4 linked regions of the Caenorhabditis elegans genome follow. The protein of the gene in region 1 purifies or fractionates together with the protein of each later gene. This does not show direct contact. Each region holds a gene or a part of one and is shown on either strand. Other genes may lie near its edges.

The links.
Region 2: the proteins of inf-1 (region 1) and eef-2 fractionate together in Caenorhabditis elegans (co-fractionation; one large-scale study listed by BioGRID). This does not show direct contact.
Region 3: the proteins of inf-1 (region 1) and eif-1.A fractionate together in Caenorhabditis elegans (co-fractionation; one large-scale study listed by BioGRID). This does not show direct contact.
Region 4: the proteins of inf-1 (region 1) and pbs-1 fractionate together in Caenorhabditis elegans (co-fractionation; one large-scale study listed by BioGRID). This does not show direct contact.

What each region holds. Positions count from the first base shown.
Region 1 is NC_003281.10:6,928,438-6,932,502, reverse strand, and holds inf-1 (Eukaryotic initiation factor 4A), read right to left. Parts: upstream 2,370-4,065; 5' UTR 2,367-2,369; coding exon 2,304-2,366; intron 2,255-2,303; coding exon 1,982-2,254; intron 1,898-1,981; coding exon 1,478-1,897; intron 1,426-1,477; coding exon 1,174-1,425; intron 1,119-1,173; coding exon 918-1,118; 3' UTR 550-917; downstream 1-549. Other genes in the region: Cell adhesion protein byn-1, read right to left, coding at 14-119, 167-279, 349-498; flap-1 (Leucine-rich repeat flightless-interacting protein 2), read left to right, coding at 3,693-3,779, 3,827-3,943. UniProt on the Caenorhabditis elegans protein: ATP-dependent RNA helicase which is a subunit of the eIF4F complex involved in cap recognition and is required for mRNA binding to ribosome.
Region 2 is NC_003279.8:9,161,854-9,167,345, reverse strand, and holds eef-2 (Elongation factor 2), read right to left. Parts: upstream 3,770-5,492; 5' UTR 3,693-3,769; coding exon 3,690-3,692; intron 3,398-3,689; coding exon 3,183-3,397; intron 3,137-3,182; coding exon 2,782-3,136; intron 2,734-2,781; coding exon 2,557-2,733; intron 2,511-2,556; coding exon 1,007-2,510; intron 953-1,006; coding exon 648-952; 3' UTR 536-647; downstream 1-535. Other genes in the region: clsp-1 (Claspin), read left to right, coding at 4,085-4,180, 4,225-4,531, 4,577-4,639, 4,683-4,995, 5,101-5,283. UniProt on the Caenorhabditis elegans protein: Catalyzes the GTP-dependent ribosomal translocation step during translation elongation.
Region 3 is NC_003282.8:4,809,051-4,812,511, reverse strand, and holds eif-1.A (Eukaryotic translation initiation factor 4C), read right to left. Parts: upstream 1,579-3,461; 5' UTR 1,577-1,578; coding exon 1,477-1,576; intron 1,430-1,476; coding exon 1,145-1,429; intron 1,098-1,144; coding exon 832-1,097; 3' UTR 529-831; downstream 1-528. Other genes in the region: srw-95 (G-protein coupled receptors family 1 profile domain-containing protein), read right to left, coding at 17-235, 283-383; H06H21.37 (uncharacterized protein), read left to right, coding at 2,548-2,721, 2,817-2,964, 3,015-3,028; ubxn-6 (UBX domain-containing protein 6), read left to right, coding at 3,025-3,461.
Region 4 is NC_003282.8:1,708,301-1,711,429, forward strand, and holds pbs-1 (Proteasome subunit beta), read right to left. Parts: upstream 1,446-3,129; 5' UTR 1,443-1,445; coding exon 1,365-1,442; intron 1,320-1,364; coding exon 1,120-1,319; intron 1,055-1,119; coding exon 604-1,054; 3' UTR 503-603; downstream 1-502. Other genes in the region: pugs-4 (C6 domain-containing protein), read left to right, coding at 115-234; K08D12.3 (CCHC-type domain-containing protein), read left to right, coding at 1,967-2,066, 2,266-2,621; rpi-2 (Protein XRP2), read left to right, coding at 2,979-3,100.

The sequences.
Region 1 (4,065 bases):
AGATTTTACTTACAACAACTTGATCTTCAAATCCATTGTCGTCTTCTTCTTCATTATCATCATCATCATCGTCCGATTTGTCGCCGGATGCATCAGCTCCAAGCCAAGCTCCGCGTTGTCTGTAACAGAAATACTTGCATTGAATTATGATAAATTGTTTATTTACCTTTTTGGAACACTAGATGTGGCTGATTCGGTTTCTTGTCTTTCCAGTGCCTCTTCGAGAAGCTGCTTACGAGCTTCATTCAAGATTTTTGATGAGAGCGAATCAGGAACGAACTGAAACTAATTTTATGAACTCTCTGGTCAATGAAAATAATATTTAATTTTCCCTGAATATTTACTGACCTCGTCTGTCTGCGAGTCTTCCCTTTTTCTCTTCTGCTTTTCGCGAAGCTCATCTCGTTGCTTTGCAACTTTACCAGCTTCCAACTGGTTATCCAGTGGAGCATTGGCTGATAATTTGTCACCCCTTCCTTTCAAATTCCTTTTCACCATGTTACTGGAAATTCATAATTAAAAATTAGCAGAATTACGGTGTTCAATATATTCTGAAAGGATCAGAAGCCTGTTCATAAGATTTAAAATGAATGTAACATACGCAATTTCATTATTTTCCAGAAAAAGAGAACGCCAGACAAAAACATTTTGTCAAACAAAACCAAGGTGGCTCTATAACTTTTAGGGGGCAATACTAAACTCTAAATTGAAAGAGAATTAGAATGTTTGAACCAAGTTGGATGGGATAGGGCCAGTACTAAAAAGGGGTGATTAAAAAGATGAAATCACGCATAAAATAAAAATGTGGGACGGTGGGGGTGGAGGAGAAAACAGATAACATGGATAAATATGAGGAAACAAGAGGAAGGGAAAAGCGTGTGGAACAATCGTGGAGGGGATCGGAATTGGATTAAAATTTAGATGAGGTCAGCGATTGATTCTGGCATCTCTTCGATTTGAGTGGTGTAGTAGCTTTCAATTTCCTTGAGCTGACGAGCATCGTTCTCGGTGACGAAGTTGATGGCAACTCCCTTACGACCGAAACGTCCAGAACGTCCGATACGATGGATGTAGTTCTCACGATTGGATGGGAGATCATAGTTGATAACAAGTGAGACCTAAAATATATACATTCCATAGTATTGAATTATAAACACAAATATTTATACTTACCTGTTGTACGTCAATACCACGAGCCAAGATGTCTGTGGTGATGAGAACACGGGAAGATCCTGAACGGAACTCTCGCATAATTGTATCACGCTCAGCTTGATCCATGTCTCCGTGGAGGCAAGAGACTGTGAACTGATTTTCAGTCATTTTCTCGGTGAGTGTGTCGACCTTCCTGCGAGTGTTACAGAAGATGACGGCTTGAGTAACATTGACAACGTTGTAGAGATCACAGAGGCAGTCAAACTTCCACTCCTGAAAAAATGGTTCATGAAAACAATTTCTTAGACTGGGCGAGTAAACTTACATCCTTTTGAACGTTGATGTAGAACTGTCTGATACCTTCAAGGGTGAGCTCGTCCTTCTTGACAAGAATGCGGATTGGATTGCGCATGAAACGATTAGTGACATCAAGAACTTCAGATGGCATAGTAGCCGAAAGAAGGACTACTTGAACGTCTTGTGGCATGGAACGGAAAACCTCGTAGATCTGATCCTTGAAACCTCTAGAAAGCATTTCGTCGGCCTCGTCGAGAACGAACATCTTAATTCTGGATGTGTCAAGAGCATTTCTATTGATCATGTCTCCAACACGTCCTGGAGTTCCGACAACGACGTGAATTCCGGCTTCGAGTTTTCGTTGATCGTCGCGAACACTGGTTCCACCGATACATGGAAGAATGTTAACGTTGAGGTACTCTCCGAGGGCGCTCATGACCTTTTGGATCTACAAAGAAAGATTTTGAAAAGTTTTCTTTAAAAGTATCTGCTAATAATCTATAACTAAAATACACTGAGTGAGAAAGTTTACCTGTTGAGCCAATTCTCTGGTTGGGGCCATAACGAGAGCTTGCACGTGTGGATCCTCGTGGTCGATTCTCTGAAGAATAGAGACCGAGAAAGTTGCAGTCTTTCCAGTTCCAGATTGGGCTTGAGCGATGACGTCCTTTCCAGTGGTGCATGGAACAATTGCGCGCTTTTGAATAGCAGATGGCTTTTCGAAACCGAATCCGTAGATTCCGCGAAGAAGCTCCTCCTTGAGCTCCATGTCGTCGAAAGATTCGACGACTTGATCATAGTTTCCCTAAAATTGAATGTATTCAAATTATAATAAATTATGTACATTAACTAACCTCGATCAAGCCGTCGGCATCGACCACCGAAGATACGTTCACATCATTTTTAACATCGGTCATGACAGGTGGGTTGAAAAGTTAAAAATTAACTTTTGGAAGTGCGATTGAGTTTCTGAAATTGAAGTAAAATGAAATTTCGAAAGTATTTCAGCATTAAATACAAAGATAAGGGTGTTGAAATAGTTCTTCAATAATAATAATTGCGAAATACAGTATCTCAATCCTAAAATTTTCGAATAAACCCATCCAAAAGAAATGAAAGAAAAGTTTCGACCTAAAAACCTTTGTTTTTTTGAGAAAAAGCATTTGAAATAAATATATTCTTAACACGAAAAGCATAAAAAACGTTTAAAAAAGCTTTAAAATCTAAAAAGAGGCTAAGAAACCGCCCCAAAACCGGGCCAAATCATTCGAACAAGAGTGACGGGTCTCGAAGCGAAGAGAGTGTTCATTAGAGCGCACATTCATACCATCAATTTTTTTTGAAGAAAAATGGCTCTTTTTTATTTGACCAATTCAATTCTTTATAATTTTTATGTACATTTGGTTATACACATTTTTGAATTCATTTTTAAAATAATTTTAATGATATAGATTCAAAATCTATACTTTTTCCGTTTTTTGAATGCAACCTGCGTAAAAAAAAGACGAGTAATCACTAACACTGACGACAGTGACATGCACTTAAAAGTGGTTCGAAATTTAAAAAATTAATTTGGATTTTTGAAGCCAAAGTAAATAATAAGGAAAGTTAGAAGGCTGAGTGTGTATGAGGTCCTCATAAAGAAAGTGAGAAATGTTGGTTGAACGATGAGAGAGCACAGCGAGCAGACTGGTCAATTTAGGCAAATGAGCGCGACGAATGAGAGTAAGAGCCGTAGAGAGCACAGCGTGCGGTGTTCCAGACGCGATGAATAAGAGAGAAACGAGAAGAACACCATCTGCTCTTCAAAAACACCTGTTGACACCGAATTAGGGGCTTGGTTAAATGCCAAAAACTGCATTGTTCGTGGATTAGGAAGAAATTGACCTATGTAGACTGTTTTGTATTGTGAACAAGAATAAATATTAAATACAGAGAAGAAAAGGTATCTGAAATCAAATAAAAAAAAGAGATCAAATTCATTGTCATGTTCACAGGCCATAAAAATCCTGAATTTTGCGGAAGGCTGTTCTCCCTCATTTCCCTCCTCCTCACTCAACCCTCACACATATTGACATAAATCTCGAAAGACGGAATCCGCGCGGACACAACGCGCGTTGGAAACATTACACTCATTTTCACTGCTGCTTCCTCTCTGTTCGTTATTGATTTTTCGCCATTTAAAATATTCAAATTCTCCTTTCTTGTGCACACACCATAAACACATACAATTTTCAGAAATCATGAGCTCATACCCATCCAGTGGTCGCCGGCGACCTATCACCCGATCAGAAGCCGAAGAAAGAGCATTAGACAAAATTTCCAGAGAGGTATCTTAACAATTTGAAAAATTCGAATTAAAAACTAAAAGTTTTAGGCGGAAGCTCGAATGAAATTGAAACGAGAAACACGAGAACAAGCCCGACAAGGAAGATATCAGTTGTTAGAAAAAAAAGTTGAAGAAGATGCGGAAGCTTATCGTCATGATACTGCTGTAAGTCGATTATTAACGAGAATGCACGTTTGACGTTGAAGTTTTACTCTCGAAACTACGTTTTTCATTTTCAGTAACCCTTCGTTTTTAATATTAATAAATTTTCGTTGAAAAAGTTCAAA
Region 2 (5,492 bases), on another chromosome or scaffold:
CATCGTCCATCTTTCTTCAATGTGACGAAAAAAAAAAGAAGAAAAACTTTCATGGGAGGAGTGCAGAACGAAGCAGGAGAGAAATCAGAGAAATGGGTCCGTTTTGATAGTTCGCAGTGAAATAAAACTGAGTGAAAATGAGCCGAAAATTGTTGGCGGCAACGGTGACAAGTGATAGAAAATGGTATTTTAACCGCCCGCGCGCCATGATTTTAGGTCAATAGTCTTACAAGAGCACGTGAATTTCATGTGAAAATGTTGCAGCGCAAAGAAAAATGTTCAGGCCGAAACAAATTCAATGGCCAAGATTGCACTCGCGTCAGAACAATGGCTTCCATGCACACTTCAAACCTACAAGACCGAGTTTCCAATCCTAGGGATCCATTTTTAAACTTTTTGTGTTTATGAAGCCATCGTTTTAGGGCGGTAATATATAAATATTTACAAGATCCAGTTAAATATACTATTTAGCTGCGACAAATACGAAGAGGGTACAAGATTGCTAAACATTCAAATATATTTCAACGTACCAAATAAATTTTTACGATTTATTCCAGAGGTGGATTAGCACAAAAATGATGAGAAAAAGTAACAAACAACCGTGTTTATTATAATAGAAAAATTAACAATAAACAATCTTGACAGAATTACATCTTGTCGAGATAGTTGTCAAGGGCTGGGACACCTTCCTTGAGCCCCTTTCTCTTTCTGGTGTCCAAAACGATCTGGTTTGGCTTGGTTCCGGCCTCAAGCGGGTCTCCTGGAAGCACCTGCCAATGGTCGAACACGCATTGTGGGAAGGCTTGTCCTCCGGTGTTGGAGCGGAGATCGGCGGTGAATCCGAAGGACTCGTTGACAGGCAAGTAAGCCTTGACGACGAACATTGGAGTTCCTGTGACCTGAGACTCCTCGAAAACGTGTCCTCTTCTTCTGTTCAACACTCCGTAGATACCTAAAATAAATAAGTAATATAAAAACGTATAAGTTTTGAAAATATGCAACATACCTCCAACGGCGGCTTCTGGGCATTGAATTTCGACCAAGTAGACTGGCTCGAGAAGACGTGGCTCGGCGGTAAGAACCGAAGCGTAGAACACACGACGGGCAGTTGGGATGATTTGACCACCTCCTCTGTGGATAGCGTCAGCGTGGAGGGTGACATCGTGAACGTTGAAGCGAACTCCGCGCATGTTTTCGTCGGAAAGAACTCCTTCGCGAGTGGCCCATTGGAATCCAGCGACAACGGAGTCCTTGATTTCATTGAGGTATTGCACTCCTTTGGTGACGTCCATCAAGAGATTTGGTCCAGTTCCGTCTGGTCCGAAGCACCAGATCTTACGGGCTTCAGTGACGTCGTATTCGTACTTCTCGGCGAGGATCTTGGCACGAGCCTTGAACTCATCACGAGCGTTGACGGTTCCTCCTTCGATATCATCGGCGAGACCATCTGGCATTGGCTGAGCGGTACAGTGAAGACGATTGTGCTTATTTGGAGATTTGGACAAGCAGATCTGGTTAGACTCGGATTGAACAGTTTCACGGTAAGAGACGACCGGGTCAGACTTCTTGAGTGGAATGCAAGCGTGGTCCTCCTCCAAATCCTTCAGACAGATTTCCAAGTGAAGCTCTCCAGCTCCGGCGATGATGTGTTCTCCGGATTCTTCGAAGATACATTGGACCATAGGATCGGACTTGGCAAGACGTTTGAGTCCTTCGACGAGCTTTGGAAGATCAGCTGGGTTCTTAGCTTCGACGGCAACACGGACGACTGGAGATACGGAGAACTTCATGACACGCATGTTGTGGGCATCCTTGTAAGTGGTGATGGTTCCTCCCTTGACGAGGTATTGATCGACTCCAACAAGTCCAGCGATGTTTCCGGATGGAATATCCTCAATTGGCTCGATGAAACGTCCCATCATAAGAATGGTACGCTGAATGGTCTTCTCATAGAGATCTTCCTTCTTTCCTGGAACGTAGTTTGGTCCTTGAATGCGAGCCTTCATTCCAGTGGCGACCTTTCCGGAGAACACACGTCCGAAAGCGTAGAAACGTCCCTTATCGGAAGTTGGCACCATCTTGGAGATGTACATCATGAGTGGTCCATTTGGATCACAGGTCTTGATAGCAACGGCGGCCTCGTCGTCGTGTGGTCCTTCGTAGAGCATCTCCATTCTGTATTTTTGAGCAGTCACTGGGGATGGAAGATGGAAAGCGATCATCTGGAGCATAGTGTCTCCGGCTGGAAGCCACTTGCGCATGAAGACCTTCATGAGTGGTTTTCCTTCCAAATCCTTCTCGTCGTTGGCGAGCTTGATTCCGAGCTTCTCAACAAGAGCAGCGGTCTTGTCCTTCTTGATGTTCATGACGGCGTCGAAGACCATGAAGATTGGGTCAAGAACGAATTGGCAGAATCCACGCTTGCTCTCATCGGTCTGAGTACTGCTCCACTTCTTGGTCTTGAGATCGAAGAAACGATCTCCCCAGAGGTTCTTCATGAGCTTGTCAACCTGTAAAAATATTTTATATAATTTTAACATACAACAATCAATTTACTTGAACTCCGAACTTTCCGGCGTACATCTCAGCGAACTGCTTGAGGGTGAAGGCCCATCCGTGGAGTCCAGATCCGAATCCGACGTTTCCGATAGATGGATCAACCATGATTGGTCCCATCGGTCCATCGTCGTCTCCGTAAGTGGCAATGATGACGTTGATGTTTTCAACGATACGCTAAACGACAAATATATAACAATGTTACAGTTGAAACACAAAGCTTACTTGGAAGGTTTGGAAAAGTTCCTCGGCTCCGAGTTGAAGTTCGAGAAGGGCACGGTCCATCTTGTTCATGAAAAGAACTGGCTTGATACGCTCAGCAATAGCCTGACGCAGCACAGTCTCGGTTTGGACACACACTCCGGAAACACAATCGACGACGACGAGAGCTCCATCAGTAACACGAAGAGCAGCAGTAACTTCAGACGAGAAGTCAACGTGACCGGGTGAATCGATCAAATTGATCAAGAAACCGTTGTATTTCTCTTTCTTTCCATCAACCTCAACCGTCTCGAATTGGTTTTCTCCCTTGACGAACTCCAAATCCTTCTTCTCGAGCTCGAAGAAAAGAGAGATAGCACTAAAACAATATTATATTTAAGCTGAAATCCTAAAAATGAACTTACGTAGATTTGATGGTAATACAACGCTCCTGCTCATCCTTACGAGTGTCAGTGAAACGAGTCTCTCCAGCCTTGGATCCGGCAATAATACCGGCTTTGGAAACGAGTGAATCGGTAAGGGTAGATTTTCCGTGATCGACGTGAGCAATAACAGACATGTTACGAATGTTACGCTTGCGATCCATAAGCGCACGGATCTCATCGACCGTGAAGTTGACCTGAAGAGGAAAAAATAATTATTTCAATCGATAAAAATTATGAAATTTTACCTAACGAAATTTTTTCTGAAAATCCATAATTTAATTCAGATTTTGATAATACTGAATGGTTCTCAGTTGAAATTTAATTTAATTAACATATCCGGGAACGAAATCTCAGTAGGCCCAAAATTTGCTAATTTCATTTAATTATTTTGAAACTTTACGTTTTTGTCCTAAATTTTTTTCGAAAATAATAGACGACAATTCATCAGAACGTACAGTTACAATAATTAGAGGGATAAATACTCACCATTTTTAGTTTTTTGTAGGGTTCTCTTCAGATACAACAACAAAAAAGGACCGCACAGAGGATAGCGGCGTGACAAGAGTAAAGAAATTTGCGTTGTCAACTCCTCCAGCAAGATCTGTTAGATGTGCAGGCAAAGTACGGTAGAGCGCCAATTCAAACACTTGGCGCTCTGCCAACCAATTCATTTTCGCGCCTACTTTTGAATCTTAATGCCATTTTTTCCTTATTTTTCTACAAAAAATTGTCAAATCTGTTTAACTTTTTCTTAATAAAGTCAAAAAAGGGCCATTACATTTATCATAATGTTGTACTTTATAACTGACCGAAGAAAATCACGCTCTATAGACTGAAATTTTCCAAACTTCTTTTTAATATTGTTTTAGTTTAATTTCCAGATGAATTCTGATTCCTGTTCAACAAAAACCGTGTCAGCAGACGATACAGATTCTCCATCTTCTCTAGTTGCCGAACACACCATGTCCGATTCCCAGGTAATGGTTTTAAGACCGAAACTGGATCGAAATACATATTTCAGGAGCAGCTGATATCTAGTGAAAACACGGAAGTCGATAAGCAAGCTGAAGAAGACCGAAAACTTCGTCGTCTTAATCGTCGTAAAGCACTGGCTTTAGAACGAAGTCCTCTTCCTGTTCCGAAGCTTGGGAGAGTCCTATTATCTGCCAATAGTACGATTGACCTGACAAATGAAGATGATGACCCAAGTAACAAATGGTTCAAAAAGACGTTTAATGCTGAAAAAATTCCGAAATTGGCAAAAAGTCCGGAAGAAGCTAAATTATTCGCCGTTCCTCGAAAAATATCGAAGAACGCACCCAAGAGCCGTTAGTTTCGTTCGTAATAATTCTGATTTAACTTACTTTTTCCAGTTCTGACCAGCGAGACTTTAAAAAAGAAGCTTCAAGCTTCGATGTCAGCGAAGCGACGGAAAGGTATCGGCTTCGTGTTAAATTTTTACAATTTTTGAGTTTTCAGAACAAGAGCAACGTCGGAAAATGTATGAAGAGGATAATGAACATCTGAAGGCTGGCAGTGATGAAGAAGAGGAAGAAGATGTCGTTTTTAAAAAAAAGAAGGGAAAGAAACCTGTGAATGAAGAAGAATATAAAAGCGAAGATGATGAAGACTATGAACCTGAAAATAGCGGAGAAGAAGATTCAGATGAGAAGAATAATGGCCGAGCCGACGATGAAATGAGTGTGAACTTGTTGAATGACTCGTTTACTTACGATGTTTTCAATAATGTGAAGAGATCAGGACCTGGATCAACTGTTTCAAATTTCGACTCGTTAGTGTTTCATCTAAATTTATTTTCTGCGGTTTTTGTGTAACATATGTGTCAGATCTTTCAAAGAAATCTCTGATTGATAGAGTTTTTATAAATAAAATTTAGGCGTTCCGAAGCAGATGTTGTTGAAAAAAATGGAGTAGTTCAACTGCCGACAATGACGGAAATTACTGGCGGATCCAACGATATTCTCAATTTGTGCCCTGGAAGTTTTGGAGTTTCACAGTCTGCTGGTTTTCCAGACACTTTGCAAATGTTGATAGAAGAAGACACGACTGAAAGAAAAATGTATGTTTTAGAAAACTTAATCTCATTCCGGAAAATCTGAAATTGGAGCCCTTTTTCTTTTCCTTGAAACTATTCGCATTCTCAAAGAAAAAGTTTATCAAATCATTAAACAAAAGATAATTTGTTGTAAATCTTTTAAATAGAGAACTTGATAATTCTTTCTCATAAATTTAGAGAGGTTTTTTGGATCTCGTTCCTTTATCAAATCT
Region 3 (3,461 bases), on another chromosome or scaffold:
AATAAATGTACTTTACCAGGGTTTCACATTAAATTCCAAAATCAAATAAAGATAGTTATAAATAATAGAGACAAACATCACTAATATATCACAAATAGCGATTCCTATCATTATCAAGATTACGGACGATTTTAACATTGAATTTCGAGATAAAACGAATAAATGGAATGATGTTGTAAAAATCCCAATTGATGAAATTACAATATTAATGATTATTGATGGATGGACAAACTTTCTGGAATTTGACGGTAATATTACGGGATTTTCAAAGCTAAAACTTGCTCAACAGCTATAAGAAAGAAATATAAATCAATTCTAGTCGCATTATCATAGCTGGGAAATGCAGAAGTTGATAAGTTATAAAGAAGCACTCTGTCAATCATTTCATTCAAATTCAGCTTAAAATAACTGAAATAAATAATTTTTACTATATGAATACACGTGGCCGCGAGTTGTGACATTTTGATGCAAATGTTTCACCTGCTTTTCGGTTTGAAGGTCGAGAGTTGTGTGCTGCTTTAAACCCATAACAAGAAAAGTTTATCAGAAAACAATATAAATGAAAGGAAAATAGTGGAATACGGGATAATTTGCAATAAATGAGTTGTTTCATCAAGTGGTGTCCGATGGACCGAAACCTTGAGGTTGTGTTGATCATCGGACACCACAATCGAATTATTTCACTTTGTAGCATTCAAGTAACGGAATTTCGGGAGACAGAGAAGATGGGAAGATAATGTCTGAAAAGGATCGAAAGAGAAACAATGGATTTTTAGGGGGAGAAAGAACAGAAACCGGGGGAAACAATTAAAAACCAATAATTTAATCAATTTAGCGTCTCTTTCCGTACTTGTTCTTGCCACCACGATTTCCGCCGCGACGAGTGTCCTCTTTAAATCCACGACCAGCTGCCAAGTCCTCTTCCCGAATATTGTCCGAATCATCTGAATCTTCGTCTGATTCCTCTTCAGAATCATCGTCCGATTCTTCTTCCTTATCCGATCCTGCCTCTTCGTCAGACTTCTCCGAATCACTGTCTGATGAATCTGAGTCAGACTTTGCTTCTCCGGCCTCTCCCTCGTCTCCGACGTGATCCACTGAAAAAAAATTGAACTTCATTAATTTTCAGCAAAAATAAACTTACAGAACTCAACCTCTCCCTCGTCTTGTTCATCGTTCTCATTGAGCTTGGCGTTTTCTGGGATAAGTCCCTCGTTCTTCAAACGGCGAGCTTCATCTGGGGTGTACTTCAGAATAACATCTCCCTTGTCGTCTTGATAATCTCGGAGACCGACGAGAATGATATCTCCCACGTTGATCCAAACCTTCTTCCTCAACTTTCCACGAATATGGCAGACACGCTGCTTTCCATCAAAACAGAACACTTGAACACGACCGTTACCAAGCATTTTTGAGACTTGTCCATATTCTGGAATTAATGCTTTTGTTTTTCGGGAAAGAAGTTATAAAATCTACCTTGTCCCTCCTCCTTGAGGTCGAGCTCGCGCTTCATGAAGTCGTTCTCATTCTTTCCTCTTCTGCGATTCTTTCCTCCCTTTCCCTTATTCTTCGGCATTGCTGAAAATATTACGAAATAATTTGGAAAGTTGAAGTTACGAGAAATACAGAAGCAAAGAGGACTGCAAAAATTGTAGAAAAAACAAGAACATAAATATGCATAAGGTAATGTCAGATTTCAATGGAATTTAACAAAAAATTAAGAAGAATGAGTATACTATCCCAAAATAAACAGTTTGCTTGGATTTCGTGAGTATTTTGATGAAAAGTGATTTCTAAAAATTGGAAATAATAATTTTATCAGCGCTTGAGATTAAAATTATGTCGTCAATCGACAAAAATAAACAAAATAACAGAAGAAAAATTTCAATGAAAAATCGACGAAAATGTGGAGTGCACAGAAAAGTGGGCGGGGTTTGCTATCGCAAGAGCGCGGCGCGAGGTTACGTAACTGCGGACTTGGCGACACAATTTACGACACTCGCTATTTTTATTTTTTATTTTGCTTATTTTTTATTTTTCTCTCTAAAATTTTGTTGTTTTAACGAATTGTTTTCGGAAAAAAGTTATTCAGAATCAAAGATTACTTCATAGAATATAATTATTGTCCAAAATATAAAAGAATTGTAAGATAAACATCTCAAAACGAACATTTAACCGCAAAAACGTATTTTGGGAAAACAATCACAAACTTTTCACGCAAAAGTGTTTTACCTACATTTTTTTGTAGTTTATTAAGTCACAAAATTAACGACATCATGAAAAATACAGCAGATAATATTTTTCTGTCCGAAAGCTTTCCCCAGTTTAGTTTTCTCCAATAGAAAAACTCCAAGTTTTTTATAGCGTTTTCGAGATGAGCTTTTTTTCAAATTTTCTGAAATGAAGTTTGAAGTTTGTATACAACCCAAAATATATGTTTATCACCGTGCAATATCACAAATGTCGTCATCGCCTTCTGTCCTATTTCGCAATCATTAATTTCCGCAAATCTCTCTGAAAAAGAACTACAATTCCAGCTATTCTTGCATGGGAGAGCCTCTGGTCGCCGAGCCGACAACTGAGCAGACTCCGTTGAGCACAAATTCAGTTGCTTATCAGAGCTCCGACGCGCTTCCAGATTCCTCAGAAGCATTCGGAGTAGAAAACGTTTATCGTGCTTTGATTATCTTCTGTGATAATTATTCGTTGGATAAAAAACAAGTGCGTTAGAGAACATGTTTTTGAGATTTTCGAAATTTTAACGTGAATTATTGTTCTTGTTTCTGTCTAAAATGGCCAAAATTTGAAAATTTCAGGTAGCTCTCGGACTCTTTCTTTCTATTCTACTTTTCATCTTCTCTGTTGGCACTATCATTGCGTGGAATCGATATTCACCAATCATTCAGGAGTTTATCATAAGAGAGAACATTGAGAAAGCGAGAAATAAGAGCAACGAAAAAAATAGTAAGATATTTAACAAGTTCTGCACTGATAACCATTCCAATTTATTTCAGAGAAAGAAGAATGAATAGTTTCAAGAAATTCCTCAACAAAAAGCGAGTCCAGAATCACTTCAAAAAGAGCGGTGAAGGTGTTCGTTTGTCATCCGGCGAGTCATCTTCGCAGCCTTCTGCCCACGCTGGAGCCGCCCAGGGAGGCCAAATTGATCGTGTCGCGGCCGCTGATATTGCTGCTCAGGCTGCTTTCAAACGGATGCAGAAGAATGAACCTCAACAAAATGCTGGAAAACGAAGAATTCAAATGATTGCAAAACGAGAGCTGGAAGAAGAGAGACGTCAGGTTGAAGATCTCAACATTTCTGGGACTTCATCACTGCAGCAACCCGACCGTGAGCAACACCTCGAGCATTCATCCGCAATATCACGTGTTCTCTACACTTCCGAGTTGCTCGGTGAGCATCATATTCGCTCGAAAGCAGATCTTCTTGAAGATATCAAAAA
Region 4 (3,129 bases), on another chromosome or scaffold:
TTTTAGAAAAAATTACAATTTTCGCTGAAAATCCGCAGACTTTCCGTATCTTTTCAGCTGTGAAAACTAAGAAACCACAAGGAACAATTATTTTTATTTTTCTTAATTTTTCAGCAAAGAGCTTCAATCTCAGCGGCTCCGTCTCTGCTCGCCACTTGCACAAACGTTGGCGGCTCCCAGTACACGTGGACGATCCTTGGCAGAATTTTGCAGTTCGTCGATTGCAGATTTTAATTTCTAATTTCCCCCAATTTTTTTTTTGAATATTCTCCTCCCTAGAGATACTCGCCCATTGCAATATTTTCGTCTTTCCATAACCTGCCACGTGTATATTTTCGCAATTTATGAACTCTTTCTGTTAAATTAACTCTAATAAATCGCTTGACGTTCCACGTGACCAGTTTCCCGGAGGAGAATACCGGTCAATTGCGTAGCTTGGCTAACCAATTACTGCACTTTTGACATAGCAGCGGTAGCAGCAGCAGCATTGAAACGAAAATGATGACAAGTGTGAATTTTCATAAATATTGAGGGAAATCAAATAACTTAGCAGTATAGTCGCACAGGGGAAAATACAATAGAAGATCGAAAAACGAAACGATTTTAGAGGACTTGTTCGATGTGCGGTGGGAAAGAGAGATGTGGAGTTGGTGTCTGCACGAATGGGAATCCTGGTTTGTCGGGACGGAACAGCTCGAACTGTGAGCCGGCTTTGTTGATCACGGCGAGACGGACAACTCCGCCGGAGGATCCGTCACGGAAGGTGGCGAGTCCGACGGCTTGCTTCACGATCGCCTTGCACTCCTCGAGCGTCAAGTTTGGTCTCCATTGACTGTCGAGGAAGCCCTGCACGAATGTGGAACCGGAGCCGGAAGCTGTCGATCGCTGGCGGGACACGAATCCTCCGATTGGGATTGCGTAGACCTGGCCGCCGAGCTCCTCATCCCAGCCGGCGACGAGCACTGAGGCGGAGAGCTGCTCGCGGTAGTTGTAGAGGAATTGGCGGAAAATCTGGCTCGAGCGGTAGATTGTCACTGGCTTGTTCTCTGTCATGCTGAAAAAAGTGATTATTTAAAAAAATTATTTTATTTAATTTTAAAACAACTGAAAATTCCTTACGTATAAACATCAATATGGTACTTGGCAATATCGGCGATCGCTTGAGTGTCCGCTGCAGATCCAGAACGGCACACAACCATATTATCGGTGATCGGGGTGATTTTGTTGGTGGCACGGGAGGTGATGAACGAGCCGGCGCTGGTTCTCGAGTCGGTTCCGACGACAACTCCACCGTTGTACTCCATAGCGATGAGAGTGGTCTGAAAATTGAGCTTTTAGTGGAAATTTCAATTTAAAAATCTCACTCCAGTGCTGATTTCTTCCTGTGGATAGAACCCGATTGCCGGAATGGCTTTGCGCTTCTCATCTCGCATAGTATCCATTATCTGCAAAATATCGACTTAAATTCATTTTTTAAAAGTTATTTTAACGTTAAGAAATCAATAATAATGTATAAAAACAAATTTAGTAGTTATTTTTCAGAATAAAATCATTAAAAACGAGAAACCCGAGCAGAAAAAACATTGTCATCAAATCTCAATGCAGCAAAAATGACGTTTGAATTGGCGCTCCACCGGACTGCCTGCACATCTAACTTTCCTGGCACGCGGCCAACATTCGATTTTGGGACGATCGACACGTTCTGGCCACATTTTCTTTGATTTTTTCTGATTTCGCCGACTTTTTTCCCGTTAAAACTGGTTTTTATAACTAGTTTTCCATGTATTTATTAGTTTTTGTCATGTTAGTCACTGAATATCCATGATTTCTCGCCCTCACTGTCTTGGATTTTTGTTTCTCTGAATTTTCGCCATTTTTGATTGAAATTGTGACATTCAACCGTTTATTTTTTTGTAATTCCTCGCAACTGATAATTTCTTTTTTCTAAAATCAATTATTTGCAGTAATGTCGGACAGAAATTGCTACAAGTGCCAACAGCCGGGACATATCTCCCGCAACTGCCCGAATGGCGAGTCCGATGGTGGACGTAGAGGAGGTGGAGGAGGTGGAGTGGTGTTGAATTTGGGGTGTTGAGTTGATTTAGGTAAATACATTATCTCTTGATTTCTTACCGAATTGCAATAATTTTTGAAGTTCTGGAGAAGTGGAGGCGAAGAGAAATGTGTTTAAGCTGGCGGAGATTAGGAGTTATTTGATGATAAATTTACAGCGGAAATCTCGAGACTAATTTCATGTTATTTCAGGATCCACCTGCTACAACTGCCAAGAGACTGGACACTTCTCTCGCGATTGCCCCAAGGGAGGATCCGGAGGAGGACAACGTGGAGGTGGCGGCGGCGGTGGATCGTGCTACAACTGCGGAGGACGTGGACACTACTCTCGTGACTGCCCATCCGCCAGATCTGAGGGAGGAAGCGGTGGCTACGGAGGCCGCGGTGGAGAAGGCAGAAGCTTCGGCGGACAAAAGTGCTACAATTGCGGACGCTCCGGGCACATTTCCCGCGAGTGCACCGAGAGTGGCTCGGCCGAGGAGAAGCGTTGCTACCAGTGCCAGGAGACCGGACACATCTCCCGCGACTGCCCAAGCCAGACCAACTAAATCAATCATCATTCCCCCCATTTTCGTTGTCTTTTCATTGTTCTGTAACTCGAAATAATGTATTCAACTGAAACTTTCGTTCACTCCTTTTTCCAATAATCCTCTTCCCCGCATCTCAAATATTATATGTGAATGCTGGTTGCAGCTATTATCCCCCATCCCAACCTCTGAACCTCTTGAACGAAAGTGGTAATAAATTGTTGATTAAAGTCGTCGTCTTGCGCTCCTCCTCTTTCGCATCGGAAGTGAAGGCGACGTGATGCTCTCACATGGGTTTCCATAGCAACGCGCGCTCTCGCCGAGCAACTCGCGCTGCTCATTCACTCACTTTCGCATATTCTGCGGGAGCCTCGAACAATGAGCTGTTGTTTTTCGAAAAAGCTTTTTGGGCGCCGGTCTAAACGTGAGGATCGCTACAAGGTCAGCGAGGATGCGGTGCCGAAACCGGAAGAGGGAGGTGAACCTCCAAAGTATTCGTGGTAAGTGGAATTTGTGGTCTCGCAGTGAA